4 linked regions of the Saccharomyces cerevisiae S288C genome follow. Changing the gene in region 3 together with the main gene of any one other region gives a genetic interaction. Each region holds a gene or a part of one and is shown on either strand. Other genes may lie near its edges. The genes, in order: MRX1, MIC19, SOV1 and THR1.

Evidence for each region.
Region 1: mutations in SOV1 (region 3) and MRX1 impair growth when combined (synthetic growth defect), as found in Saccharomyces cerevisiae (one study listed by BioGRID).
Region 2: mutations in SOV1 (region 3) and MIC19 impair growth when combined (synthetic growth defect), as found in Saccharomyces cerevisiae (one study listed by BioGRID).
Region 4: mutations in SOV1 (region 3) and THR1 impair growth when combined (synthetic growth defect), as found in Saccharomyces cerevisiae (one study listed by BioGRID).

What each region holds. Positions count from the first base shown.
Region 1 is NC_001137.3:312,299-320,971, forward strand, and holds MRX1 (Mrx1p), read right to left. Parts: upstream 4,303-8,673; coding exon 2,236-4,302; downstream 1-2,235. Other genes in the region: YER076C (uncharacterized protein), read right to left, coding at 292-1,200; ICP55 (aminopeptidase), read right to left, coding at 4,509-6,044; YER078W-A (uncharacterized protein), read left to right, coding at 6,348-6,512; YER079W (uncharacterized protein), read left to right, coding at 6,622-7,254; AIM9 (Aim9p), read left to right, coding at 7,665-8,673. UniProt on the Saccharomyces cerevisiae protein: Component of MIOREX complexes, large expressome-like assemblies of ribosomes with factors involved in all the steps of post-transcriptional gene expression.
Region 2 is NC_001138.5:166,246-173,207, forward strand, and holds MIC19 (Mic19p), read right to left. Parts: upstream 1,014-6,962; coding exon 501-1,013; downstream 1-500. Other genes in the region: ubiquitin-specific protease UBP6, read left to right, coding at 1-321; DCV1 (Dcv1p), read left to right, coding at 1,643-2,251; YFR012W-A (uncharacterized protein), read left to right, coding at 2,979-3,065; IOC3 (Ioc3p), read left to right, coding at 3,677-6,040; calmodulin-dependent protein kinase CMK1, read right to left, coding at 6,292-6,962.
Region 3 is NC_001145.3:397,213-406,794, forward strand, and holds SOV1 (Sov1p), read left to right. Parts: upstream 1-4,328; coding exon 4,329-7,025; downstream 7,026-9,582. Other genes in the region: RIM9 (Rim9p), read left to right, coding at 1-584; AEP1 (Aep1p), read left to right, coding at 691-2,247; KAR5 (Kar5p), read left to right, coding at 2,490-4,004; UBX4 (Ubx4p), read right to left, coding at 7,111-8,361; AVO2 (Avo2p), read left to right, coding at 9,092-9,582.
Region 4 is NC_001140.6:157,928-161,011, reverse strand, and holds THR1 (homoserine kinase), read right to left. Parts: upstream 1,575-3,084; coding exon 501-1,574; downstream 1-500. Other genes in the region: VMA16 (H(+)-transporting V0 sector ATPase subunit c''), read right to left, coding at 1-168; MAS2 (mitochondrial-processing protease subunit alpha), read left to right, coding at 1,820-3,084. UniProt on the Saccharomyces cerevisiae protein: Commits homoserine to the threonine biosynthesis pathway by catalyzing its O-phosphorylation.

The sequences.
Region 1 (8,673 bases), on a different chromosome or scaffold from region 3:
ATAATCGTAATATTTTTATGTAGAAATATCAAGTCCATTGTAAGGATTCTAATATCCTCGAGGAGAACTTCTAGTATATTCTGTATACATAATATTATTGCCTTTATCAACAACGGAATCCCAACAATCATCTCAAAGTTCACCAAAAGTCTCAAGATCCGACTTAAATCTTATATAATATGTAGAATTGCCTGCAAAAGTGTACGATTTTACAATAAAAAACGTCGAATTAGCTTTTCGCATACGTCTCAACCAAGAGGAGAGCGGTAAAAATTATGGGAAACTCAATCGTTAACCTTGCGCCTGATCAAAACAATCATTAATAGCCATATTATTTTTATCAACTTCTGGACAGTCAATACTCCAGGGATAATAATGGGACCAAGCATCATTGGCAACTACTCTCAGCTCGGCACGCCAAGAATCACCGTGGCTATAGGTAACACAAAACGCTGTCTTGCCGTGATTGTGCATACTGGATACTGAAACACGAACTGCACATGTTAAATTTCCTTCAGAGGCTGTAATATCACAGCTACTGTTTGTTGACCACGTCTTGACAAACAAACTCCAACCCTCTTGCCCATCAAAAAAGATATTCGTGAACTCCTGGCTGCCGCAAAACTTCTTGTCACCGCTCCCGTGAACGGCCCATGCTACCCATTGCGCTATGTAGCTGTTCAAATTAGTCGTAAGAGTTGTGGAAGAGACGGCCCTATTGTACAACCTAGACCAAGTTCTTACCTCCACTCCGTAAAACTTGGCTCTACAGAGGGTAGATTCACCTGTTTCCTGGTTGCGGTTGTATTGCAGGTCTGCTGGTGTTTCCACAGAACCATCGACGGCTACATTAATGGCATTACTGATACTTATTGCCGTGACGTCATTTTGAAGTTGCTCGACGAGACTATGCTGAGTGAAGTTGGCTGCTTGGGTAGTTATATTACTGATAATGTTAGGGTATTCAGTAGCATCACGCTTGTTGAAGGACTCAGGTACAGTACCATTTGCAGTTAATCCTATCGTCTGGTAAAATTCAACCATAGAAACTGGAGCGATTGCCAAATCATCGTCCATTTGCCAGAATCCTGATGGCAAGCCCTGGCTTTCACCGCCCGTCAGGTAGATCTCAGCACGTGTGCATGCGCATAACAATAAGATCGCATAAAAAAATGAGACGGTATAGTATCCTGAGGTCATTTTTCTCCCTTGGATTGATTGCTTGCTTTTGTATCTTTCTTATAATAGTTCTTTCAGAAGAGCCCAATATGCGGTTATTATATAAGTTAAGTTACGGCTATGTGAAGATTTTGAATAATGTAAAACTGTTAGAAAGCATTGCCTCTTGTATAAGATGTGGTCGCATTACTTCAGTTAATGACTTGAACCAGTTTGTTTTTCAATCCACGGCTGTATTCTTCACTAATAAAACCGATTAGCGGGAGTCAGGGAAATAGAAAGAATATTTGCAAATGGAGCACCATTTTAGAATTAATTTTTTTTCAGTGCTCACAGGTTGATGATAATGACAAAATATTTTGTTCTTTAGAATTATTTACATATTGTTTAGAGATGAACGATTATTCACACTTATTACTATATTGGTTTAAAATGGTTAACAGTTTGCTCGAGATATCAACACAATCTAGTCTTACATAAAACTTTCTTTTTTGTCCCTGGAAATCTGGCGCAAACCCTTTTTCATAGGATTGACTTAAAATAGTTGAAGAGCGATTTCTCTTGCAAAAAAAGGTGCTAACCCTTCTTACTTTGGTTTATTTTCGTGTTGGAACAAGTAGTACAAAAATATACAGGCGAGTTGATATAATAACATTATGTGCGTTCTCATCGTATACTTAGGCACATCTCTTATACGCTTATATATAATTGCAACAGTAACAGAATAATGAAACTGTTAAAAGCAATATGTAGACAATGACGCAATTGAGTTACAGATCCAATATATACGTGGAAAATATGAGTTGTTACACTGAACATGTTATATTTACCTGACATACCACTATATTGTACTGATGATACTTAAGACGTGCCAATTGCGCGTGTTATATGAACCTCTCCTTCATAGTATAGGAAGATGTACTTTCATTCTTAATTAACACCACCTTTGAATAATTTATCATCAGTAACTTTCAATTAACAAAAAAAATAGGAAAAAAATTTGAAAAAACCTCAAAACTATGTACATATTGAAAGGAGTAAATAATCAATTTTTACTTAAAACTTGTCATAGCTGGTTTCAAGTATCAGCTCGGCCAAGTCCTCCATGATGCGCTCTTCACTGGTACTTGTATTTTCGCTATCACCCTTCCTTCTTGAGTTGCCTTCAATGTCCGCTAAATCTTCCAGTAATATTTGCTTCAGCCTCAAAAGGTGCCTTCTGGCAAGAAACTTCTTTCTTTCCGTGCCTTTTAAACTGGCTATTTCCTCACTGTCCAGTGACGGAAGCTTGATTCTCTCGGTTAAAACCTTGACTAAACGAATTCCCTCCAACGTAACAAACCGCTTGTCTTCTATGCTCGCTTTAAATTCCTTCCCGAACTCACCATTCAATAAAGATTTCAAGTATTCATCTAGTATACTTTTCAGTTCCACTGTAGACACTTTATCATTCATGTTCAGATTTTTAACGATAGGAAACAGGAACTTCCATGAATTAAACCTGTAAACTTTGCCGTTCAACTTTGATGAGTATGTGGCCTCTACGCTATCTATAAACCCCCGAATCTTGTGCAAAGTAGCTTCAGCATTTGATGCATCTTTGTTTATAACGGCCTTGAGACTTTGTCTTTGGAATGCGTTGTACACCAAAATTAACGTCCTCCTGGTTATTGAGATTTGTGCCGACGAGGCTACCCGTTCATAAATGTCCAGACACTCGTCGCCGCAAGTGATGGGCCTCGTTGTTATGACAGTTTCCATGTATTTGTGGTATATGCTCTGATCTAACATTTGGTTGTTCTGTGCCTCTAATGTCTTAAATATTTCCATAGCAAGATCATATTCCTTGTTTTTCAAACAGTAATTCATAAACAATCCCACAACATGTTTGTTGAGAGGAAATGGCTTATTGATGTTCCAATGACTTAGTGGAACTAACGTAGGAAAATCGCTTTGTGTCAAATACTTCTTGAAAATGGTCTTATCAAATTGAAAATATTCACAGAGGGCCCATAGTCCCATTCCTTGCTTCTCAATCTTTGGTGACTTCTGGCTACATATTACTTCACAGTACTCAAATAACAATTTAGAATCGACACAATAGTCTGGTATTTTATTCATCAAATCATTGAGTACCACCATAAAACGTTTCTCATCGGCAATCCTGGTACAAGATCTTATCATTAAGGTATATGTAATACTATCCTTTTTCAAACCTGGGCACTTTTTATTAAGAAGTTTGAACACTAGTGTTTCATCGGTACAATTTATCAGTGCCGCCAAAGCGGTATTATATTCTATTTCCGTGAGCTCATTTTTGTCACACAAACTATCTATAGTCTTCAAAACAAGTTCTCCGTATTTTTTTGAGACCAAATTTTCTTGTTTTGAGAGCCCATTAAAGAGGATTGTGATGGAATGTTGATCAATAGGGACTCCCCATTTTTTTCGCCAATTGAAGATATCTACAGCACTTTGTTGGGACTGCACAACTTCGATATAATATTTCATAATCAAATTCATCCCAACGACGCCTTTCTTTTTAGCTAGCCTAGCCAAAAAGACAGCTTTTTCCAGTTGTCCTCTTTTCAAAAATTTTTGAACATCATTGGCGATTAATTTGGAATCACGTAACTGTTCTCCATTGACGCCTAGTATGGTATAAAAGAGTCTCTTATCTTTGGTTAAGGATAGGAACTTCAAGTCGCTTTGGCTAGTTGGCCCCAGTTTTGTATCTGCTAATGCCTCATTATTTATTTTATGAAATTTTCGAAGAATATGAAAAGCTTGATCCTTGGGGTATGCTGTCTTTTGCAGTTTTTTCAATTGTCTTCTTTTCTTAGAATTTATCCTTTCCAATTGTTTGGATGTTTTATTTAATATGAAACCGTGACGTTCTAGCTCATGTAGTCTTTCTTTTACTTGAGTTTTCTGTAGATTTGTCAGTGAATGAAAAGATCTTCTCAGCAGATGCTCTGTGAGATTAATTGCAGTGTTTATTCGGGGTAGCATTCTAGTAAATATACAAGTGTCTACACCTATTCTTGAAGACTGCGATGACTTTGAGGATGATTGATTCAGATCCTTGGTTCTCAGCTGTCCTTTTGTAATTTTTAGACCCATCTTTATTTTGCCGTAACTAAAAATAAAAACTAAAGAGCAGTGCCCAAGAAGAAGAGGAAAAAAACAAAAAGAAAGCTGAAGAAAAGTATCTCAAGATATTTTCAGTAAATTTTTTTTTTTTTGAATTTTCCGTTTAATATTAAAAGACCTTAAATCGATAAGTTATGTATCTGTATATACAGGGTGTACTCAATTTAGCAATAACATTACAGTGGTGCCACTTGGTCCTCCTCGAATTTTGTAGATAAGCCATTTTGCATGACATTTTCTAAATCGTCAATTTCTTTCACTGCTTCAACAGTTAAATTAGTGTAAGTATCTTCACCAATGGCTATGTCATCTTCAATTCTTATTCCGACGTTTCTAAAGTAAGATGGAAATGATTCCTCGTTAGGAATATATAAACCCGGTTCAATAGTAATAACTTGTCCAACCTTTAATGGTTCGTACCTGGAAACTTTAGGCACATCGTGAACATCTAGACCTAAATTGTGTCCAATATAGTGCGGATACAATTTTTCAACATTCCAACCGGAGACTTTATCTATGCCCAAGTTTTTCAATTCCTGTTTCATGAGTGTGATACTCTTTTCATGGATGTCGTGGAGGGAATAGTTATTGCTAGCTTTACATAACTTAATGCAATCACGCTGAACATTTAATACAGCTTCGTAGAGATCTCTTTGTGCATCAGTGAATTTCCCACTATTGGGCCACGTTCTCGAAATATCAGCACAATAACCACCCAAGGAGCCAGCAGCGTCTACAAGAACCATTTCGTCGTCAAACATCACATCATCGTTTCTTGTGTAATGGATACACAAAGAATTCGAACCAGTAGCGACCACGGGGATATATGCGTCCTTATCGCAACCACCGGATATAAACTTGTAATGAAGAAAGGAATCTAAAGTTCTCTCATTCCTAAATCTTTTAGCAAAGGCTTGATTGAACGATCTTCCTGATATTTGGCCAGCTCTCCTCATAATTCTCAACTCTTGAGGGGACTTGATCTTACGGAACTCTGCAATTCTTTTACTGATGGGTTTGATGGTCTTATTCGCAATGGAATTCAATGATCGATTGCTATTCCCACTGCCATCTAACAGGCTCTTGATGTGTTTAAAATTGGACGAACTGGGATTAGAAGTTGATAGCATATCAAAATAGATGAAATCATTCCTGTTAATTATTTTGGGCAAATATTTAGACAAATCGTTAATGGAAGCAGATTCATCGGCATTGAAAATTTCTTGAACACCATAAACCCCAGACCTAAATCCTTCCCACTTTTCAGCAAACGCATCCTTTGGCGGAACCAGCATGTGGAAAATTGTATCACTTAAACTATCCGTTGGCTTTTCTAAAATCATGACCGAATTAGGTTCATTCCAACCACTAAGATAAAACAGGTCATTTTCCTGTTGGAACGGATAAAATACTGCTCCAGATGCAAATTGGATATCGTTACCAGCTAAAATCACACAACTTTTGGGAGGCAATGTTTCCGCCAACCTAATTCTTCTTTCATAGTATTCCAAGGCTGAAATGCCTGGTGTCAACTCGCCCGACTTTATAAGGAACGGCCTTGTCTCATGCAGTGGTTGGCCTGCCTCAATGGGGATTCTGACTCTATTAGTAAAAGTATTACTTTTATGCTGTTCCAATGGCGATACCAACTTCGAGAAGTATCTTTGGCAAGATTGCATAGAAAACCGTACTGGGTTTATCCTATGTAACATATCAACAGAAAATGACCACTTTTCCTATTAGCTTTTTCTATTATATTCTTTAGAATTGGTGGAGTTTCTTGCGCAAACGATCCACTTTTGCAGTGCAGTAAGTGATCCCTATACCAGGTGAGTTGATATATATTTACTGTATCTTGTACTATTTTATGAACAAGAAAGGCTATTACTCACAACAGTTTTGGTTTCAGTCAAAGTTTATGTGTGAGTGTGAGTGTGAATGTGTGCGTGTTGCATAATTGCATTTGGCCTTTCCGAGAAATAAGTCATTCTTTATTTTTCTCTCTTTACGGTTTAATGGTGCGGCTTTCGTATCTGCGTCTCATCCTTCCCCCTTGCCGCTTGTCAGAACTCTCTAGCTTGGCGATTCTCTATCAACCTGTTATTCCAATTCTTATATCTACCATTACCTTCCAGCATTTTTTCAAATGTGTTCACACGCCCTGTAACGTTTATATATAAATATTTTAATATTTAACTTAGCTTATGCATATATAGTTAAAAGGGATAATAACAATAAGAATAAAAAACACAAACTGCTGAGATAAGAAAAGGAAGCGAATAGTTAATAATGCCTGATTCATCACATTCAATAAGCTCAAAAGATGTTGCATCTGCCATCTCTCTCTATGATCAGTCCATTTACACTAATAACAGGTCTACTAACCTGGACTTAGATCAGAGATCAATGAGCCCTTCCAATATTGCCTCTGGTGAAGATAGGATAACGAGAACGAACTCAGGTTGCTCCATCACATCAGGTGCCTCCATGATTGCCACGAAGGATGGTATTCAGGGGATTAATGTCAAAAGAGATGGGATTCCGAAATATTCACTTAATTTATTGAATTCCATGGTTCGAAAACAATATGATCACAATAATGGAACAAAGTCTCCTACCCCGAAGACTAGCAATATGGTAGACCCTAAGAACAAAAAGAAGAACAAAAAAAAGAAGAATGACAAGGATGACAAATACAAGGTATCGCATGATCAAACCGAAAAGTTTTACAAACTCAACACCACTTCCAACTCCAATCTCACCTCTGATTCTACTACTTCGTTATCGGACCAGTTTTATTTCCAGAAAAGTAACGCTGATTCTGCTCCATTAGACAATGCAAATTACCCACTCTCCGACCATTCCCCCTCCCTAAACTCTATGGATAATACTACAAAGCATAGCAGCAATGTGCACACTTGAATCACGTGAACCACAGTAACCTAATTGCTCAAATTTTGAGAGTTAAAGGAAAGAATAAAATATATAAATGATACGTTTATACCCGCTAAAAAAAAAAAATATAAAACAAAAAAAGGATCTCATAAGACGATTTGTTGGGATATGTCCACATCTTTCGGCTATATACTACATTTAGCTGTTTCCCGTTTCTTTGTATTATTCCCTTCTTATGTATAACTTTTACTAGTAATAATTATAATAAATATTCGTTTTGAAACATGGTAATTTCAAATGTTCAATGTATTTTCGGGCCGATTGCTGACCAGCGACACTTTAAGCCGAACTGTATTTAGTAGACTCCCTTTTCTCATCAGCGAAGAAGAAGTAGCAAAAGCTGTTTAGCAAGCAAGACAGCAATACGAAGACCAAGCATGATTAGGTACACTGTTGCTGGCCATTCCAGAAGGTGTGTAGTAGGAGCTTCGAAAAGAGTGGGTGCAATTAAATGTATCACCGTCGCCGCCACCAAGAGATTTATCTCCAATAAGCCAAACGAAGTTTTTACCAAGCTAACGAATGACAATGATCCAAAGAGAGATGCCTTTTTCAAATATACGTGGGGCTCATGGCTTAAAAATGATAAGCAAGAAAAGGAAAAAAGATTCACGAAGTTTTCGATTGAAGGTTTAAATCGCATTCTCAATGACATCTACATTCAATCTAATGAAATGGCTAAGGCCCCCGACGGTAAGATCTTACCACCAGTGTTTAACAAGAACTTGACCGTTTCATTGGTCAATAACGTTGTACCAAAGAATATAGGTAAAATCAACCCAAATGAAAAAGTTCAAGTAACCACATTATCTAGTATTCACGAAGGTAAACATCACAGAATATACAAGGTCGACACGAATTTGAACAAGGCATTTATCTTGAGGATTCCTTATCCGCTGGAAAATGAAAACACTCTATCCTACAGAATAAGAAGTGAAGTAGCAACCATGGATTTTGCTGACTTGAAGTTGGGCATCAAAGTTCCCAAGATTTTTTGTTATGGTGTCAATTCTTTGAACCCTGTAAGGCAGCCTTTTGTCTTACAAGAATTTATCGAAGGAGAACTCTTGATGAAAGATTGGGATCCATTGATTGAAGACGGTTCCTCCAATCAAAAAAAATATGACAATGTTATTAAACAAGTTTCTGATTTTCAGTCGAAGTTAGTGTCATTGAAATTAAATGCATTTGGATCCATATATTTTAACAATGACTTAAAAGACGGAAATGAGAAGGAGTTTGTTAAGGAAGACATATACGATGGGGAAACTAATCCGGATCTACAAAACAGATGGAAAATTGGGCCATCCGTGGAAAGATGTCTCTGGAGACATAAATCTCACTTGGATTTTCATAAACAAATGAAACCTTTTTTGGGACCATGGC
Region 2 (6,962 bases), on a different chromosome or scaffold from region 3:
TATGAGACACAAGTGGCTCTTAACGAAAGTGAAAAAGATCAATGGCTCGAAGAGTATAAGAAACATTTTCCTCCAAACTTGGAAAAAGGTGAAAACCCATCTTGTGTTTATAACTTGATCGGTGTCATTACACATCAAGGTGCCAATTCTGAGTCTGGACACTATCAAGCTTTCATAAGGGACGAACTGGACGAAAATAAATGGTACAAATTTAATGATGATAAAGTTAGCGTTGTTGAAAAGGAAAAAATTGAATCTTTAGCCGGTGGGGGCGAAAGTGATAGTGCACTGATCTTAATGTATAAAGGATTTGGTCTGTAAGTCCATTTTTCATTTTTTCAAAATTAATAGTTTTTTCGGAATATACATATACATTTTTTTACATACACATAAAAATATTTCTCTCCCTTTTACGTTCATCCGCCAATCGATAAAAATGCATTTTATATACATGAAATGGCGAATTCTTTTTGGTCGAGTTTATGTATACTTTTTCTTATTCAACCCATAACGAGCTTCTTGAATTCTTCCATCTCTTCGTAACAATTCAATGGCTTGCCCTTATTGGCCAAAAGACACTCAGTCAATTTTGCCTTTATAGAAATGCTGCCGTTGTCGGTTTTTTTATCAGATTTACCTTTGGCACCCCCATATTTCTCCAACTTTTGTAACTCTAATTGATCAAATAATGTTAGTTTCTTGTTCAACGACTCGATTTGATTATTCAATGAACTTGATGATATTCCATCAACGGCATCCTTGTCGTCGTCTGATAATAGTGAATTGTTCAAAGTATCTTCAAACTTCTTTAACGTTTCAACTTCTAGGTTAGATAGCCTTTGTGAAACCTTCTTCTCAATGAACTTTTCTGCATTTTGCTTGGTGACATAGTCTGATTCCTTCGATGAATCCAATTGAGAAACCAAAGACTGTGAAAAATCGATCTGTGTTAGCGGAGTATAGACTTGTTGTTTTTCTGCACCAGCACCCACTTTGGAAGTGTTTGAACCCATGATTGACTCTGTATTAGTCGATATACCACCTTGTTTTTGTTCTTGAATTTTTTTTTGATTAGCAATCTCTTTGAAATGTTCCTCCTCACTTGTTTTTTCCTCTGCGTCTCATTGGAAGAAGAAATATATATATATGCGACATACCACGAATATTCGTAGTTTTTTACAACAAAAACGACTCTCGGTAGCCAAGTTGGTTTAAGGCGCAAGACTGTAATTTACCACTACGAAATCTTGAGATCGGGCGTTCGACTCGCCCCCGGGAGATATTTTTTTAAATCTTGCAGCTTTCAATATTTAAATATAAGTAATAAACCATCAGTTAAACAACAGAACAAGTATTTCTTAAATCTCATGAAAAATCTAATAATGTTATTTGCCGAATTTTATTATTGATTTGGTTGGTCTTCTTGATAATTCTGTGGGCGCTTTTTTTGTGACATATTAAAATTGCGAAATTGCAAACGAAAATATAAATATATATGAATGTTAATAAATAAATTATTTAATTGATGATTGAGGATGAAATACACTTTTATGATCTGTCCTTACGCGTAATAATTACAAGAAGGTGAGAAAATTGCCTTTTTTTGCTAATTTTTTTTTTTTGGTACCATATTCAATAATTGATGCTAAATTATAAATTGATTTTATTGTTTTCCTCTTTCCTACAATTAATCTCTTTTTCTGGCTTTATGATATGTTGTTTAACTTCACCAATAATTAGAAACTGGGGGCTGGCTCAAGCTGCTGGAGTTTCATATGGTACCTTTGGTTACTGTAAAACTTTGAATTCTTTTTCCTGCTCTCGAGTACGTTTAATATATAACACCTCGAAAGAAATATTACCTGGCCCTTCTCTTGAACGTTGGTGGCTGAGTCCTAAGGCAAGACATACAATAGGAGGACTTTTGATTTCGATACCGGTTGCTACATGTTTGACTTTCATTTCTTTTGCACTTCCCTTGGTTATTATTTTTCTTTTTCAGACTGGAGGAACTAATGTCTCACTTATTACTTCCAACGCTATATTACACATATTGACACTTTTATCAACTATTTTTGCATGCACCGTGATCCTGTTACTTTGCATGCACCGTGATCCTGTTACAATTTCATCCTTATACGACTTGGTGTGGCTGGCTAACTGTTCCCTGTTCCCTCTGCTCGTTATTGGCGTGCATTTTCTCAGTTTTAGGTTTGATACGTCTGCGCAGTCAGACAGAAAACATAGCTAAAGAAGCTAGTATAGAGAACGTAGACAGTATTCTCAAACTATATGGAACGAGTCAAACATCAAGTTCCCTTGGCGAAAATTATCCACAAACAACTAAGGGCACAGACCAATCTGTGTATGACATCACAAGTCTTTTTAATGATCTACCAAGGACCTTAGATCCCAATCAAGATAAACTGGCGGTAACAAATCAAGATGAACCACCGCCTGAAATCAAATCTCCATTGAAGCAAGCAGGTTTGGTGAGTTTCTTCGCTCCAAAGTTGAATGGTAAACAAATATTTTCTAGAAGGCATGTTGAAAATCAAAAATCCTTATCTTTGGATGAAATCAATATAACCGACTTACCTGCAAAGCAAGAAAATGTGGAAATGCCTACTGAAAAAAAAAAGGCAAATATTTTATATTATGAGGGAATCTCAAGCCATTCACAAGATAACTACGACCCTCCTTGGTTATTTGGCGTTGAGGCTACCCAATCAGCCGATTGCTTTAAAATATATTCAAAAAAAAATCATTGTCTCACAGAGCCCCGCCAATATCAACTACAACAACCAAATAATTACCAGGATCAAAGTGAGGTTCCTCATAACTCTTTCATTCCTTGGTATTCCCGAAGAAGACCAGTAGGATACAACCACAATTACAATCGCTACTACTCACAGACAACTCATGGTAACAGCGAACACTCCCGACAAACATTGCCACAGACCTACAACATACACAGCATGCTCCCCAGAAAGTACAAGCCCGCCTACAAAAAACAGGCACATCGTGTGAAGAGTAATCCACAACCAGCTTATACTTTCCAATGACAAAATAACAAGAATAAAGTACTATCCAATCTGCTTTTTTTGTACGCGTTTTGTTGGCGCGCCGCAATTTGAAAAATAAGAATAAAGTACTTCTTGCTACTATTTAATGATTCCATCCGTATTCCACATCGTTGACGTCTGAGTCTGATAGACTAGTATATAGAAAATAAAAATAAGATAGAGTAAATAGTATGCTACTTTTATCGAGCCCATCTTTTTGAGCTTAATTTCTGAAACAAAGAAAGGAAGTGCCCATTTTTCCTCTTAACGGTTTCTAAAATTACTGAAGAGAAAACAACTTTTAGATGTAATTTATTTACATTAACATTAGCAGTGACTACAGAGGACAGGTATGGCGGTATGGCGGTATTTGTTAACATTGACTTTCCTTATGCGTGGAAGTACTAGTAATATTCCCTCTCGGATCATAAAAGTGAAATATCGTGCTTCACGATTTGCTGAAACTTTAACAAATTCATTGAAATTACGTGAGTTTATACTAATGAATGGACTTAATTTCTTAAGATGGTGATATCTTCCACATTGGTTTCGGCCAACAAAACTATCACTTACCAAGTACTTCAAGCAAAGTTTGCAATCCCCTATTGTTTATGGATTCTCCATCCAATTCTATCCAGAATTTGCAGCAAGAAGCCCAGGGCAGCTCTTCCGCACAGCTTGCTGACCATGATCATGATCGCGTATCAATGGCTATGCCCTTACAAACCGATCAAAGTGTTAGTGTTTCACAATCTTCTGATAATTTAAGGAGATCAAGACGTGTTCCTAAGCCAAGAACGAGCATTTATGATGAATACGAGGAAGAGTTAAAGGAAAGGGCGAATAAACCCAAGAGGAAGAGACCTGCTCCTCCTAAGAAAAAGGCACCTTCCACACAGAACTCTAAATCAAATGATAAAGTAGAGAAAAAGAAGACTACCTCAATTGCTAAGGATGGCAAACCTACACTGAAGACTAATGACAAAAAAGTGGCGCCGAAACCTAAACCAGCCCATGAACAAGTAGAACCCGCTTTGATCCCTAGCAATTGGACTTCTGTAATACCCTTGCTTACTTCTGATTTCAAGAACCAGTATAGTGTCATCTCTAGGTTAAAAAATCCGAACATGAAGCCTGTGCCATATGCTGGAGATATCATTAAGCTGATGGCGTTCATAAATAAGTTTAGTTCTTTTTTCCATTCTGACCTACAAAATTTATCATTCCAAGATTTTGAGGTCGGTTTAGATTTGTATCCCGGCGATCCTAATGGAAGCGCAGCTGGTATAGTGAAGGGTCCTGAAGACACCTCCTTATTGCTATATCCTGATTTTATGGCCATCAAGGATATCGTCTATTGCCAAGACAAAATGAATTTACTGTTCCTATCCTTGTTAGATTTAACATTTACTGAAAATTTTGATGGTAAAAGTGCCAAGAAGAAAGGTCCATTAACAACCTGGGAGAATCTAAAATCGTCCTCCAAGAAAGTATTTTCCAATCCTCTTTATCGGTTAAGACTTGTAGCTCGCGAATGGGGGTATCCACGAGAATGGCGTCAACAACTCCCCAGTGACCAAGATATCTCCAAACCTAAAACTGCTCTTTTTGAACAAGATGAACAAACACCAGTGGTGGATCCCAGTCATCCAGAAATTTTAACGCCAAATATATATACCTGGAATGCTAATGAACCACTCCCATTGGAATCAAATCCTTTGTATAATCGAGAAATGGACAAGAATGGAATTTTGGCGCTCAAACCAATGGATCGCGTTGTTTTATTGAGGGCGTTAACTGACTGGTGCGCTTCCCATTCATCTGCTATTCATGACGAGATATACAAATTAACTCATGGTAAAAAAGATCCCGTTTTTGGCATCCAAACACAACAAGTGCCTAGGTATACAATTGAAGGGGTAGATAATACCATAAATCAGTTTAAAAAACTCTGCTCACTAATTCAATCAAGATATGAAATCAGAAGTAAGAAAAAACATTTTGTTAAACAACTAAAAGAGGGTAAAAAACCAGATTTATCAAGGAAGCTAGAAATACTGAAGGAAATTAAAGCGGAATTGAAGAACGCTGTAAAATCCGAAAAGGATGAACTTTTGTTCTCACTGTACGACAAGTGGGTCCCATTGTTTGAAGGCGAATTACCTGATCAACCATTAGCCAATCCTTTTTCGGAAAGACTTTATAAATTGCGATTACAAGAGTTCTTCCTTGGTAGAGTTCCCCATATAGGTGATTTTTATATGCCAAGATTACACAGTTATGGGGACTCACTCGAAATGAGCACCTTCACTGATTTGAGAAATCTACAAGCATTGCTATCGAAATTCAAAAATAATGAATACAACGCTTTTACACTGTTTGAAAATGATGGACAATCGATGAGTGCCCAATTCAAATTGTTTTACCATGACACACCATCGTTGGCGCATGATGTTGCACGAGGCAGAAATACATCGGGGAAGGTTTATTGGTATGAATTATGCCACGATTCAGCAACACTGCTGGAGTTCTTGGAGTTCTTGGACTATAAAATTGTTAAACCTCAAGATGAGAAAAAGGAGGGAAATGAAAAAGAAAAAGAAGCACTGAATAATGAAGCGCACATATTGGAGCAGAAATCTACCACTGATAATAATCCCTCCATAAATACAAACCCGCTACCAAAAGACGCAAAATATAACACTGCGAGAAAGAAGTTACAGATATTAAAGGAATTTTTATCTGATTACTATTTCATTCTTCGTCAGTTTGAACAAATGAAAGTGCAATTTGCAGACATGAAGCCAGGCAAGAGACAGTTGAGAAGGATACAGCGACAGACTGTAAACTATAATACGGAATATGATAGCGAGGAATATGTCGATGATGAAGAAGACGACGAAGCTGATATTTATGATGACAACGACAATGATTCTTCTTTTGATGATGGTAGAGTTAAAAGGCAGCGCACTTAGACAACTAGCTTTCAACGAACGTGAAGATTGTGAAACTCCTTACAGGCTGCATTTCGATTAATTAAGTAATGTAAAATTAAGACTATTAGTACATAATTAGATACGCGTATCTTTTCAACTAAGGCATAAAAAAAAAAGGTAGAAAGTGAGGACGAAAAAGTGCAAAATATCAAAGTCAAATCTTGCGCATATTCGAGCTTACAAAGTCATTGAAGATTTATTCGCCAGTGTGGTAAAACGGCATACTGTTATCATTCTTCTGTTTTGGTATCCTTCCCCTCTGGTTTCTCCTTCGCCTCATCCAAAGACTTTATATCACTCCCAGGAAGATCGCTATCAGAACTACAGACTCTGTTAATATTTAAAAATTTTTCCTTTTCGGCAAGCACTGTGTTAACTAATTGTGCAAAAGCTTTGCTGGTTAACTCGGACTTCAACTTAGACTGTTCTTCTTCTGATAGCTTCTTGGATAGTTGACTGGTATCCGTTGCTTTCAATGGAGGAACTGAACCGTTTGCTTGACTTCCTTCGTCAAAATCTGAATCACTCTCTGTCTGTTCAAGATACAGATCTCTTAATTTCTGGATCTTCATGTTTAATCTGACTCTCTCAACAGAATTACGGAACTTTTGACGAGCATCCAATCCTTCCTTTAACCCAGGCAATAAATTGTGCGTCTTCAATTCGGTACAAATAATCCATGGATCTTCCAAGAGTTCTGCGGCGGTCGGTCTCTTTGAAGGATCCAAATTAAGAGCCTTCAAGATGAATTGTTTTGCTTTATTGGAAACGGAATCCCAATAAGGCCTATGAAACTTCACTGGATACTCACCAGTTGTGCATTCGTCAAGGAAATCTTGAACCCTTTCGGCTCTAAACGCCGAATAACCGCAAAGCAAAGTATACGTAATGACACCTATCG
Region 3 (9,582 bases):
GCTGGTGTGTACGTGGTCAAAACCAAGAATTGATGTGCACGAAAATGAAGATAGGATATGACAGTACAGATGTCGACTCCTCCGGGCACGTTTTGACCCTGCCATCGAACTCAAAAGTGGTCGTCTCCAATTTATTAGTGGTTCACCCGATTTCACTGGCATTCACAGGAACGCTATTAATTTTAGCAGTGATTATCATGGTAACTCCACTAGGGGACTCACCTGAGATGTTATTGTTCACGGCCCTTTTTTCGCTGCCAACGTTCATGCTATGTCTTTTATGTTTTTTGGTAGATATTCTTCTGTTCATCTCCAAACTGGACTGGCCCGGCTGGCTAATGCTAGCCGCTACTATTAGCGTAGCACTTTGTTGTTCCATGCTGTGGGTCATGAGAAGAGTTGTGTCAGTCAAAAAATATGAATCGCAACAGTCAATTGCGCATGCGTGCTCAATGGAACAGTACTCAATTTCCGACATTTACCAGAGTAAACAGAACGGCAATAGCTCAGAATATGAAGTGGCTCCAACACATACAGATAGTCTGATTGCTCCAGAAGTGACATATAGAGGGTTCATTGAATAAGTAACATCATGTGTCATTTTGCACGTTACATCGGTTTGCCAATCGGCTTCCAAATATTTGTACATTTTTTTCTTCCTCCATCACTATCTGTTAAGGGTCTTAGAAAATGATTACTACAGTGCAAGAAATCAGCAAATGGAGAAACCTGTGCTTCATTAGGATGCAATCTCGCAAATGGTACCCAGTACTTAAAAAGACTCCTTTAGTAGCGGACGGTCGAAAGATCATTAAACATGCCGATAAAGTTCCTCATCCGGAAGAAATAATTCACCCATTTTACCAACCAACAGCAATAGAACAATTCACGGCATGCGCTACGGAATACAATCCTAGCCTGCTTGATGGCAAAAAAATTGCTCCATCACTGATAAAACACCCGGTGAGCCTAAAAACCATACTAGTTGATAGCAAATTAAAGTTTGATGATATTAGGGGAGTGAATAAATGGTTGATGGAATTCGTTGCAAGACGACAACATCAAAGAAATATTGTACTTACACCTGCGAGCAAAAGCGTTAGATCTTTTCACGTTCTGCATTTGTCTTCAACCGATATTGCCAAATTAAGAGGTCTTGAAAATATATTATCAGAGATTGAAAACACGAATGATTTGCAATCCAGGGTCGAGTCCGTAAATAATGAACTACAGAATATTTTTGACCGCGACAGTAAACAGACAAGATTATTTTGCGAGAATATACTGGCTTATTTGATAAAGAATTATGGAAACTCGACTGAAAAACTTATACTACTAATAAATGTTACTGAGATGCAATTATATTCACGTTTAGACCAAATGAAGGCCATGAACATTATTTTATATAATATCCTTTGTAAAGTGGAAGCAAATGAAAACCCACCGTACAGTCCCACATTGGTTACCGCACTAGAAAACCTATTGGCAGCGATCAACAACAGATTTTTTCCAGGGCGTTGCGAAAATTCATTGCACCCAATAGTAATTGAACAACTATTATCATATTTCATTAAAACCGGCAATTTGAATGAAAGCAAAAATTTTTTGGGCCATTTAATAAAAAAGGGTATTTTACCAGAGGCTACTATCATTAATAGATATTTGGAGGCAATTGATGTTCATTTCGATAAAAGCACTAAGATTTTTGATATAAGATCCAAATTTGCATTCATAGCAGATCTTGCACCCATAATAGAAAATTATGGAACAATAGACCTGTTCAAATTTTTGATACCTATGTGCCGGCATTTCGACGAATTGTGTTCTCTGCTAAATATTATTCGAAAATCCAATAACGCAAAACGGGCTGTGGATAGCACCTTACCTATTTTTATCAAAAAAGTATTAACATTTACTAAAGATCCAATGATCAACTCCGGAAATCTATCCACTGTTTTCAATATAGTGAGCCCAATATATGGACAAAACGTGCCCAGCGAATTCGTGGAGAAATTTATACTGTCTTTTGCACTTCAAGGAAATTACACTATGATGGCTCATATGATAGATACATATAAGATCAAACTAAGTCATAAATACCAACTACAAATTATTAGGGCTCTCAAAAATAGTGAGAGAAATCACGCGCTTAAGAATACGGGCGCTGTAGGTTATAATAAGGAATTTAAAAAGTACTTCATCGAGAAATATTTGAATTGCACTGAACGAGAAGCTTTACGCCCATAAATCGTCTATATTAAAAAAAAGGCAGCATAAGAGCAACTCACTGCAAAGGGAATTGCGCATTCCACGCAAATAAACAATGTAAATAAGAATACGTACTGTAACTGTGTCACACTAGCGGGTTGTTTTATCATAATTGTTTGGGATTAATCCTGAACAAATTTTCTATATATAAACACTGGTTCGGAATACCAATGAAGTATACATATTCTGGTTCAACAACTGTTTCTATTCAAAAACTTTGAATGTTTGAAATGCGCTACGTCTATTTGTTTGCAATTTGTATTAAGTTTGTTTCAAGCTCCGAACTAGGAAAAATCAACAATCTGCTGCAAGGAAGATTGATATACACAGATAATTCCGTTGCGACAAATGTATTAGAATCCAAATTTCCATTCTTGAAATCAACATGTGTTAAAGACGCACTAAAATTATTTTTGCCACAATGTATTGCAAATGGACTTGAATCCATTGACGCTGAAACAAGGGTAGAAACGGCCATTAAACTTTCAATATGCGAGTTTCAGGCATCTGGCTTGGGCGAAATACCAGAAAATTGCATGGTTGACGACCTAGGATCAATGATGGATTGTATGTTTGAACTAGAATCATCTTCACAGTGGTGGACAACTTATAGTGGAAATTATCAGCGACTATCGAGTATTTGTTATGAAAATCTTCTTCCTTTTGAAAAAGAACAGATACTGAAACTTTTTCTAAATATCACTGAACTTTATGATTCATTTGGGGATGATGTCGATACTAAGTTAAATCATCTGATGTTTCAAATGGAGCAAGATTCTCAAAATTTTTTGGACGATCTGGCCAGGATGTTCCGCAACTATGACAATGAACTGCGAAATGCGACCGAAAGCAATCGAATAATCTTAGAAAACGACCTCTCATTTTTTAGAAATAAAGTGAATGATGTACTCTATGAAACTTCCGAACAACTAGAGGTCCAAATCATAGAGAAGAACAGTCAACTAATGAATGAAGTTGATACCGTCCATCATATTATGAGCGATCTAGCCGATGAGCTTGCTAAAAATGACATAAAATCTAAGATAAATGACTTGAAGGACGACAGCCTGAATAATTTACAGGACCTAGTGGAAATGTCCAACGACGTAAAAGAATATTACTCTAGAAATAACAAGTTAGTTAATACCGAGTTGGAAAACTTCTCGATGGGTTTAAAAAAACAGTTAGGAGGCATGTCAAAGGATCTTTCTGAATCACAAATGGAAGCTATAGAGCTCTTGCAAGGGTTCAATTCCATCCTTCATGATTCATTGTTACCATCCATGACGGATGAGATAGTACCTGAGATGACGAACTTCAAAAATACCTTACTACAAGAATGGACAGCTATAACATCTACACTAAATGGAGATTTTGCTTTATGGAATGAGGAGATTTTTTCAACTTTTAATGATATTTCAGAGAAACTGAATGGCACAAAAAAAAAATTAGACGACATTGAAATCAGAGTCTCACTTGTCCATAAAAATGTCATGACAATGATGAGGGTATTGGATTTTATGTGGAAAACTAGTAAAATGATTATAAGATGTGGGTACCTTGCAGTCAAGAATAAATACTACTGGTTACTGTGCTCCGTTGTGTGGATTTGGTCAAAATACCGTACGTCTCGAGTAAACGTCAAAATGATTCCTATTAAACGCTATTACCAATGGGCAGCTCTTCTACTTTCAATTTATCTAGGAGCTAAGACTGGCTCATTGATTGATTTTTAACATTACCGATGTAACAATATATGAAAGCCTATATATACATAGATGTATAGGTATATAGCCGCATTCAAAGTCTAGCAAAATAAATATTCTTTAAAAATTCAAGGACACCGGATCATGGTGGCCATAATACGGGCAAGTGAACCTAGAGAAGGTGTCCTACGTCACTATCCAAGTTAATTTGCTTAAGAGAGTTCGAGTGCAGCACCTACAGCTTTATCATTGAAGACGAAGCAAAAAGATCTTGAGATTCTATATCATGGGCACAGGTAGTATTCATTAGGTAGTAGTAACGTATTAAACAAGGCCATACTATATTTATAACTCATGTTCAAATACAACCGCTCACTCTGTAGCAGCGCTTTGATAGCAAAGTCTCAGATTCGTTTTTATAGATTGAAGCGGGCGCCATTGAATTATGCCTCCCATATACCTGAAGTTCTTAATAAGACCATCATAGGGCCAGACGAACCAGAAAAATGTCTCATTTTGAAAGGAAAAACATCAGAGGAAATCGAAAATAATCTTCTCAGTAATAAGAAATTTCAGGAGATCAATCCTCTTGATACTATCCAGGAAACGTTCATTCAATATCTGAAATTTTGTAATGAAACTAACTTTAAAAGAAGTAACAAGAATTTAAACAGATTAAAAAAAACCTTAGAAAGCAAGGACTCTAATAGCACCGTAAAAATTAATGCAGTTTTCAATTATTTGCTCGAAGAGTGTGATTTAGAAATCAAAAGATTGAACACGACCGGCCAAACCCAGGTATACAATGAAGAGAAAGGAAATGAAGATGACTTAGAGCAATCCATAATGAACGATATTTTCCGATCAGCACAAGAACAATTTGAAGATCAAGAGGGCCATATACCGTTAAGGAGTACATCATTTTTACTGGAGATTTTGAAAAGTTTTAATGAACGGTTTAATGGCATAATCAAACCGAAAGAGTCAATAACAGAAATGGTCACATTCAGCCAACTTGCTCAAGCTTTTGAAGTTGTTAAATTGATACCAGTGCAAGAAATGAAGGAGAAAGGGATTTACTTGGTCGGAAATTTACTTTATGGCACAGGGAAAGTTCGTTTAGATCCTATAAATGAGTCATTCTATATTGAATCCCTACTAGTTTTTGGAAACTATAAGGCTGCATACAGTTTATTTATTACCAATAAAGACAAAGTAAACGAGCGCTGGTGGAATGAACTAGGATTAATGATCACATTAAGGTCTAACCACTTGAGAAACTTCAGGAAACTTTTAGCCGAGACAGATGCAAAGTACTCAACAAAGTATTCTTATTTGAGCCCAAGAGTTACCAAATTGAGCATACGAAAATATTTGTCGATTGGCAATGTTACTGAAGCTAATATACTGACTGATCGATTTATTAAGTTAGTGGAAGAAGTTGGAATAATCAGAATGAAAGATGAGCAGGAGGAACTTCCCACGGGAGTTAAAAATTTTCAGAATGAGAAACATGCAACTGAGTTCTTAAATGAACTAGAAATACCATCGGATCATGATTATATCAGCATTGTTGATTTCCATCTTTATAAGAGAAATATTCCCATGGCGGCTCAACTTATCAGCAAGTACATGGAAATACCTGGAACGACACAAGAAGATGCCGCATTTCTACTTGTTAAAACCAAGCTAAATATGTTGAAAGATTTTGAAAAGCTACGAAACATTTTTGCTCAAAATAAAGATTATGTAGTGCCTGAGAATAATGTGAAAATGTTGCAAGAGGCATTTGAGAGCGTTATTACTAAGTATAACACTAATTCTCCAATATACAATGAATTGCTGTTTGAGAATGTTTCGGCCTTAACAAAAAGTATTGTATTAACTGATTTTCTGGAAGAGTTCATTACTAAACAGGCTTCTGGACAGTGGATGGAATTAAACAGTGTGTCACGTTCCAGAAAGTTTAATGGCTTGTTGAACATACTTCTCGGTACAGGTGAAGAAGAAAAAGCATATAATATCTTAAAAAAACTAGAAGAAGCCTCAAAGAAATCAAAAACAGATCCAGATTTACTCTATAATCAGTTTTATTCGGAAGTTAATGCATATCATTACGCTAAATTTGTTGAATTTTATAGTCTTCAAATTCAAAATATGAAGGCACAAAATACGCCCTCATTTAGAAAAAAGGAATTTAAGCAGAAAGTGAAGTCACTTTTAAAAAGAATGCAGGAGTCAGAGGTTATCCCAAATGCTGTTTTTTTGAGAGAAATACTCAATTTTTATGATAGCATGTATGACTTTAATTCAAGTTTTGAGATCATCAATCCGCTACTTGAATCCAAACAACAGGTGAGCTCTGAGTCTTCATTATCCACCTCAAACCCTTGCCGATTTTACAACCGTCGCATCATAACAAAACCGCTGTACCACAAGATTTGGTCTGTGTATTGCCATTATTATCATGTTTTACAAAATAATTCTAGGATTTTATCGAAAAAGTCGTCCATTGTAAAGAAATTAATAAAAAGGCAGATAAAGATTCACCCAACTTGTCACCCAAGAGTATTGTTCCAAATGACGGCAGAAAATGGTGAAATTTTGCCAGACAAAACTTTTTCTAAATTAATTGTGTCCACGTTCATGAAAAGCGGGGATTTAGAAGCAATACCTGCCATATTAACGTTTCTAACGAAAAAATTTGACTTGAATATTGATTACGATTTGAGTATGTATATTCTAAAGGGTTTGAAAAGACAATATTTACGAGATATTAGTAACATCAGTAAAGATGCTTGTGAGTACAAGTTACGGAAGGCGGAGCTAATGAATAATGAGTCAATCTTAAAAAACATTCCACAGGGTACAAATCAAGAGAATACAATATCCCATTTGATCAGGGAGATTTTGATCTTTATAAAATGGAAGGAAAAAAGTGATTGTTCTACTTTCTTGATGGTAGAAGATGCTTTTAAAGAATTAGGAACAGAGTTTACTTTACTCGAAGAATTAATAGAAGATGTAAATAAGTTAAAGATAAAAGCCTAAAAAAACGGATGCATTTTATATAATTTTAGCTATACGTGTACATATTTGTAATAAAGTTAAAAGAGGAGACTGTTTAGCTTTGTATTTATTTTTTACTTAATTTCATCCATTTAGGTACTCTATTTAAAGTCTTTTTGATACTTGTAGCGTTATCAGAAGGGCCCTGTGGATTGGATTTATTTATCGTATTAACTGATGGGGTTGTCCTCGTTTCGTGTGTGATTTTTTGTGCGTCTTCCAAAAGATGAGCCTTTATTAATGGGCCATTAGAATTTGAATTTGTTTCAAAAAGCAGCATTGTTTTAGAGCCAAATTCCAGGTCATCCAGTAGCTTCTTATCGTCTTTAGCCAAGGGTTTGAAAGGATGAGATTGGTTTAACGTAAAAGGCATGTTCTCATCGATCAGGAACTGCGACACGACGTTATAAACTGTACGCATGTCTTCATTGGGTTTGAATGCTATTTGAATATGGCTTCTATCGGGGAACTTGACTCTCAGCAAACACTCAGATATAGCCTTATTTTTCTTTGGCAAGTTGTTGGCTGATTGCTCTCTAAGTCTCTTTGTCAAAATAGGACCACCCAAAGTACCAGCCTTCGATGATAACATTTTTTGGTATTTCTTGGCTTGTTCTACTGTCAATTCATAATCTTCTTCATCCTCGATTTGATCCTTGATAACTGCTAATGGCTCATCCGAGGGCAAAAACACAGAAGGTTTATGTAGTTCGTGAGGTGGTAGTGAAGCAACCGTTTCCGGGTTCGTCATCGTAGGGGGAGTTTGTTTTGGGTGAATAGCGCTATTAGCGCTAATGCCCTCAGAATGAGATGTATTATTAAAAATCAATCTAACTGACGAAGGCTCCTGAATCCCTAAATTTTCGAGAGTCAAATTCTCATCCTTAATTGTTTTGAACTCTATTATCTTGGAAAAGACCTGGATCTTAAAATCATCTCCCGCAGCGCCGCTCATCTGTCGCAAGATAGGGGCAATTGGTTGGTCAGATGGCATTTCTTTAACCACGGAATCTCTTCCTGGGATTTGAAACCGTATTTTGATCGTATTGAATGGAATATCTTCGCGGTTGGTCTTATTCGCCACCGGAAAATTACTACTTTTAGATAATTCTAAGTTGACACCCGTTGGTAAGTTTAGAAGCCTCCATGGCAAATCTAATGGCACCGGTTTATCCAAATGTATCAATGACCAGTCGTTTGACGAGGTGTGCAGTTGAAAGAATTGTATGGATTGGTGTAACACATCGTTTAGTGTTGAATTCAACGAAACTTTACATTTGAAAAGTTGGAAGTTATACTTCACGGTAACCATAGGCATTGTATTGTGCGCTTATTAGTCTGCCTTGCTATTCTTCGCAGTACGTAGATTTATCTTAGTTTTTGCATTTTTTGGTTTTCTTTTTTTTTTGCCACACATAGTACAATAAAAGAGAACTTGAATCTTTGAAGAAACGTCTAAATTAACATCGAAGATAGAAGACAGGGAAACATCTAGGATTGCAAGAAATAGTGCTGAAATTTTGTAATAAAGTTGCAAGAAATAGCATCTAGCGTTTTATAAGGCGTACATCTTTCTTGGCAAGAGTTCCAAGAGAAAAGAGGAGCAAAACAGCGGTTGAGGCGCCCGCTATCTTGAATATTATACAGTTTCTTTAAAAACGCTTGTACAACACTGCATAAACATGGACAAATTATTGAAATTGTTTCAAGATATTTCCCATATCATATTCCAATAGCGTTACTCTCTCATCGCTTATTCTGGAATCATTATTTTAATAAAGATAACTCACACGATATACGTGTACTGAGCTGACCTTTATACCTACCCTTACCTGCTTATTCCTGATAAAAATGTTCGTGCAACTAATTGTTTGATTTCTCTTGCGGCCCGGTTATTCCGGAGTTGATACTTTTTTTCTTCTGTCTTAATTACGTTTTTTTCCTCTAGACTTTTTTGATCTGGTACAATTGAAAATGTATAAATCAACTGGACCCTAAAAATAAAAAAAAAAAACGCCCATTAGAAAAGAGGATATATTGAACAAAAGATGTTGAAAGAGCCCTCAGTTCGCTTGCGGGAGGCTATTATTGAAGGCAATTTACTTATAGTGAAAAGATTATTGCGACGGAATCCGGATTTGCTAACCAACATAGACTCAGAGAACGGATGGAGTTCATTACATTACGCCTCATACCATGGAAGATACCTTATATGCGTGTATTTAATTCAGCTGGGGCACGACAAGCATGAACTAATAAAAACCTTTAAAGGAAACACCTGTGTGCATTTAGCATTAATGAAAGGGCACGAGCAAACCTTACATTTACTTTTGCAACAATTTCCGCGATTTATCAACCATCGCGGAGAGAATGGTAGAGCCCCCATCCATATAGCATGTATGAACGATTACTACCAATGTCTGAGTCTGTTGATAGGAGTTGGTGCTGATTTATGGGTAATGGACACTAATGGCGACACGCCGCTGCATGTATGCCTGGAGTATGGCAGTATAAGTTGTATGAAGATGCTTCTCAATGA
Region 4 (3,084 bases), on a different chromosome or scaffold from region 3:
AGGGGATGTCCTTAACAAGAACTTCCCGAAATTAATGTCGGATCCATGTCCAGTGAAAAGCTTGTACAAACCGTACACTATTACTACTATTAGCACCAAGTAATATAGGAAGTGGGAGAAGGAAAACTTCCCCAAGGACATATCATCATCTTTAGATTCCTTGTTCATTATCTTACACGCTCTAGCTCCTGTATTTTATTCGCCTTCCGGTGAGAAAAAAAACACCTGTGGATATTACGTTGAATGATACTTGTGGCTAAATCAATCAACTGGCCTTGGCTATGAGTCTTTTGAATTGAGACTGAAAACAACTTCGATTCATTATCTGTATTGTTAATGGTTGTGAAATTTCGTTCTTTTCACTTATTTTTTATTTTCGAAATAGATAGAAAAGACGGGTAACGGAAGAAGACTCAGCATAATAACCGTTAACGGTCAATTACAGTATGTATATGGTCTACAATAGTATTTAACACAGTATACTAGGGGTAAAGGACATTTCATTGCTGTTCGACGCTAGCACCATCGTAGGCAGGCTCCAGTAGTTTCCAGGAGCACTTGATGCCGTTTTTGGCGAACCTGTTGATAATTTCTTGAGAGATTTCTTCGAAATTCTCAGTGGCCAAAGCCAAGATAGTTGGGCCTGCACCTGACAAGCAGATACCCAATAGGCCAGGGTATGTGGATGGGGTGACACATGATAAGATTTCCGTGAGACCTGGGATCAATGTCTTTCTATAAGGTTGGTGGACACGATCTTGCATAGCAGGGTAGATTAAGTCGGCATTAGGTGGGTCCATGGTCAAAGCTGTGGTCAAGACGGCCAATCTTTGTAGATTGAAAACCAAGTCCTGGGTTGGGTAGGCTTTTGGAAGAACGCCTCTGGAGTCGGCGGTGGACAACTCGAACTGTGGGATGATCGCAATACATTTAATGGCGGGGTTCCATTGGTATTTGACATGTCTACCGATATCGGTGGGAGGTAATGGGGGAACCAGACCGGTATCTTCACCACCAGAAGGTTCTGGAAGCACCTCAGCCAATGGAATCTCACGTCTTTCCACCTCTTGTGGGGTCAAGTCCCTTAGGAATGAACCGCAAAAGCCTCCCATCATAGCAGCGGTTATGTTGTCTGGATGACGTTCAATCATCAAACAGTAGTCCAACATACGTTGCTTAGAGAAACCCAATTGGGCCACTTCGTTACCTAAAATAACACCTGCCACAACTGCTGCACCAGAGGAACCCAATCCACGGCCAAGTGGGATTGGGTTGGAGACGTGAACTTTGGTTCCGGAGGGGAAGTTTCTAATATTGTTGCAACGCAACACATATAACGCAGTCCTGGTAATCAGGTTAGCATCAGAACGCAATGGGACCGTAGAATAGCCTTCACTTTCTTTAGTGTAAGACAGCTTGCAGTTGTTGGGATCGTCGTTTGTTTCCTGAGCTTGGCTGGAGTCGATGGTGACATCTAACTCCAAGAATAGAGAAAGACCGACACCAAGAACATCATAACCAGGGCCGATATTGGCGGAAGAAGCTGGAACTTTAATTTTGAAGGCACGAACCATTTTCTGTAGTCCGTATATCTACTTTATGCTACTGTTATAACCATTAGGCAGGTTAGAAGTACACTTGTTTTTATCACCATATCTTTTCGAGATGATGACTCTTGCACAAATTTTTCATCCGGCGTGAGGGCGTATCGAGAATGAACAATTCAGGTGAAAAAGCCTACACAGGTGGACTAGAAGAAAGGTGTTTCAGGGCAGGTGGTCAAATTAATGCAAAGCAGAGAGCTGATTAATAACAAAAGATGCTAAGGAACGGCGTTCAGAGGTTGTACTCTAACATCGCTAGAACCGATAATTTTAAGCTTTCGTCACTAGCGAATGGACTGAAAGTGGCGACATCAAATACTCCTGGACACTTTAGTGCCTTAGGCCTATACATCGACGCAGGATCACGGTTTGAAGGTAGGAATTTGAAGGGTTGTACACATATCTTGGATAGACTAGCATTCAAATCAACCGAACACGTCGAGGGCCGAGCAATGGCAGAGACGTTGGAGTTACTGGGTGGGAATTACCAGTGTACCTCGTCTAGAGAAAATTTGATGTATCAGGCTTCTGTGTTCAACCAGGATGTGGGTAAAATGCTTCAATTAATGTCAGAAACTGTGAGGTTCCCTAAGATTACTGAGCAAGAACTGCAAGAACAGAAGCTGTCGGCAGAGTATGAAATCGATGAAGTTTGGATGAAGCCAGAATTGGTATTACCTGAGCTGTTGCACACAGCAGCATACTCCGGAGAAACTTTGGGGTCCCCTTTAATCTGCCCTAGAGAGCTCATTCCTTCTATTTCTAAATACTACTTATTGGACTACAGAAATAAATTCTACACCCCAGAAAATACTGTTGCGGCATTTGTTGGTGTTCCTCACGAAAAGGCATTAGAGCTTACAGAAAAGTATCTCGGTGACTGGCAATCTACACACCCTCCGATCACCAAAAAAGTTGCCCAATATACGGGCGGGGAAAGTTGTATTCCACCAGCACCAGTGTTTGGGAATTTACCAGAATTATTCCACATCCAGATCGGATTTGAAGGTCTCCCTATAGATCATCCAGACATTTATGCTTTAGCAACATTACAAACTTTACTTGGAGGTGGTGGTTCTTTCAGTGCTGGTGGGCCAGGAAAGGGGATGTATTCTCGTTTGTATACCCACGTTTTGAACCAGTATTACTTTGTTGAAAATTGTGTTGCGTTCAACCATTCTTATTCGGATTCTGGTATTTTCGGTATTTCATTATCTTGTATACCGCAGGCAGCTCCTCAAGCGGTTGAGGTAATTGCACAGCAAATGTATAATACATTTGCTAATAAGGATTTGAGGTTAACTGAAGACGAAGTCTCCAGGGCCAAGAATCAGTTGAAGTCTTCACTACTAATGAACCTAGAGTCTAAACTGGTAGAATTGGAAGATATGGGCAGACAAGTTCTCATGCATGGTCGCAAAATCCCAGTCAACGAAATGATAAGTAAGATCGAAGATTTGAAGCCAGATGATATCTCACG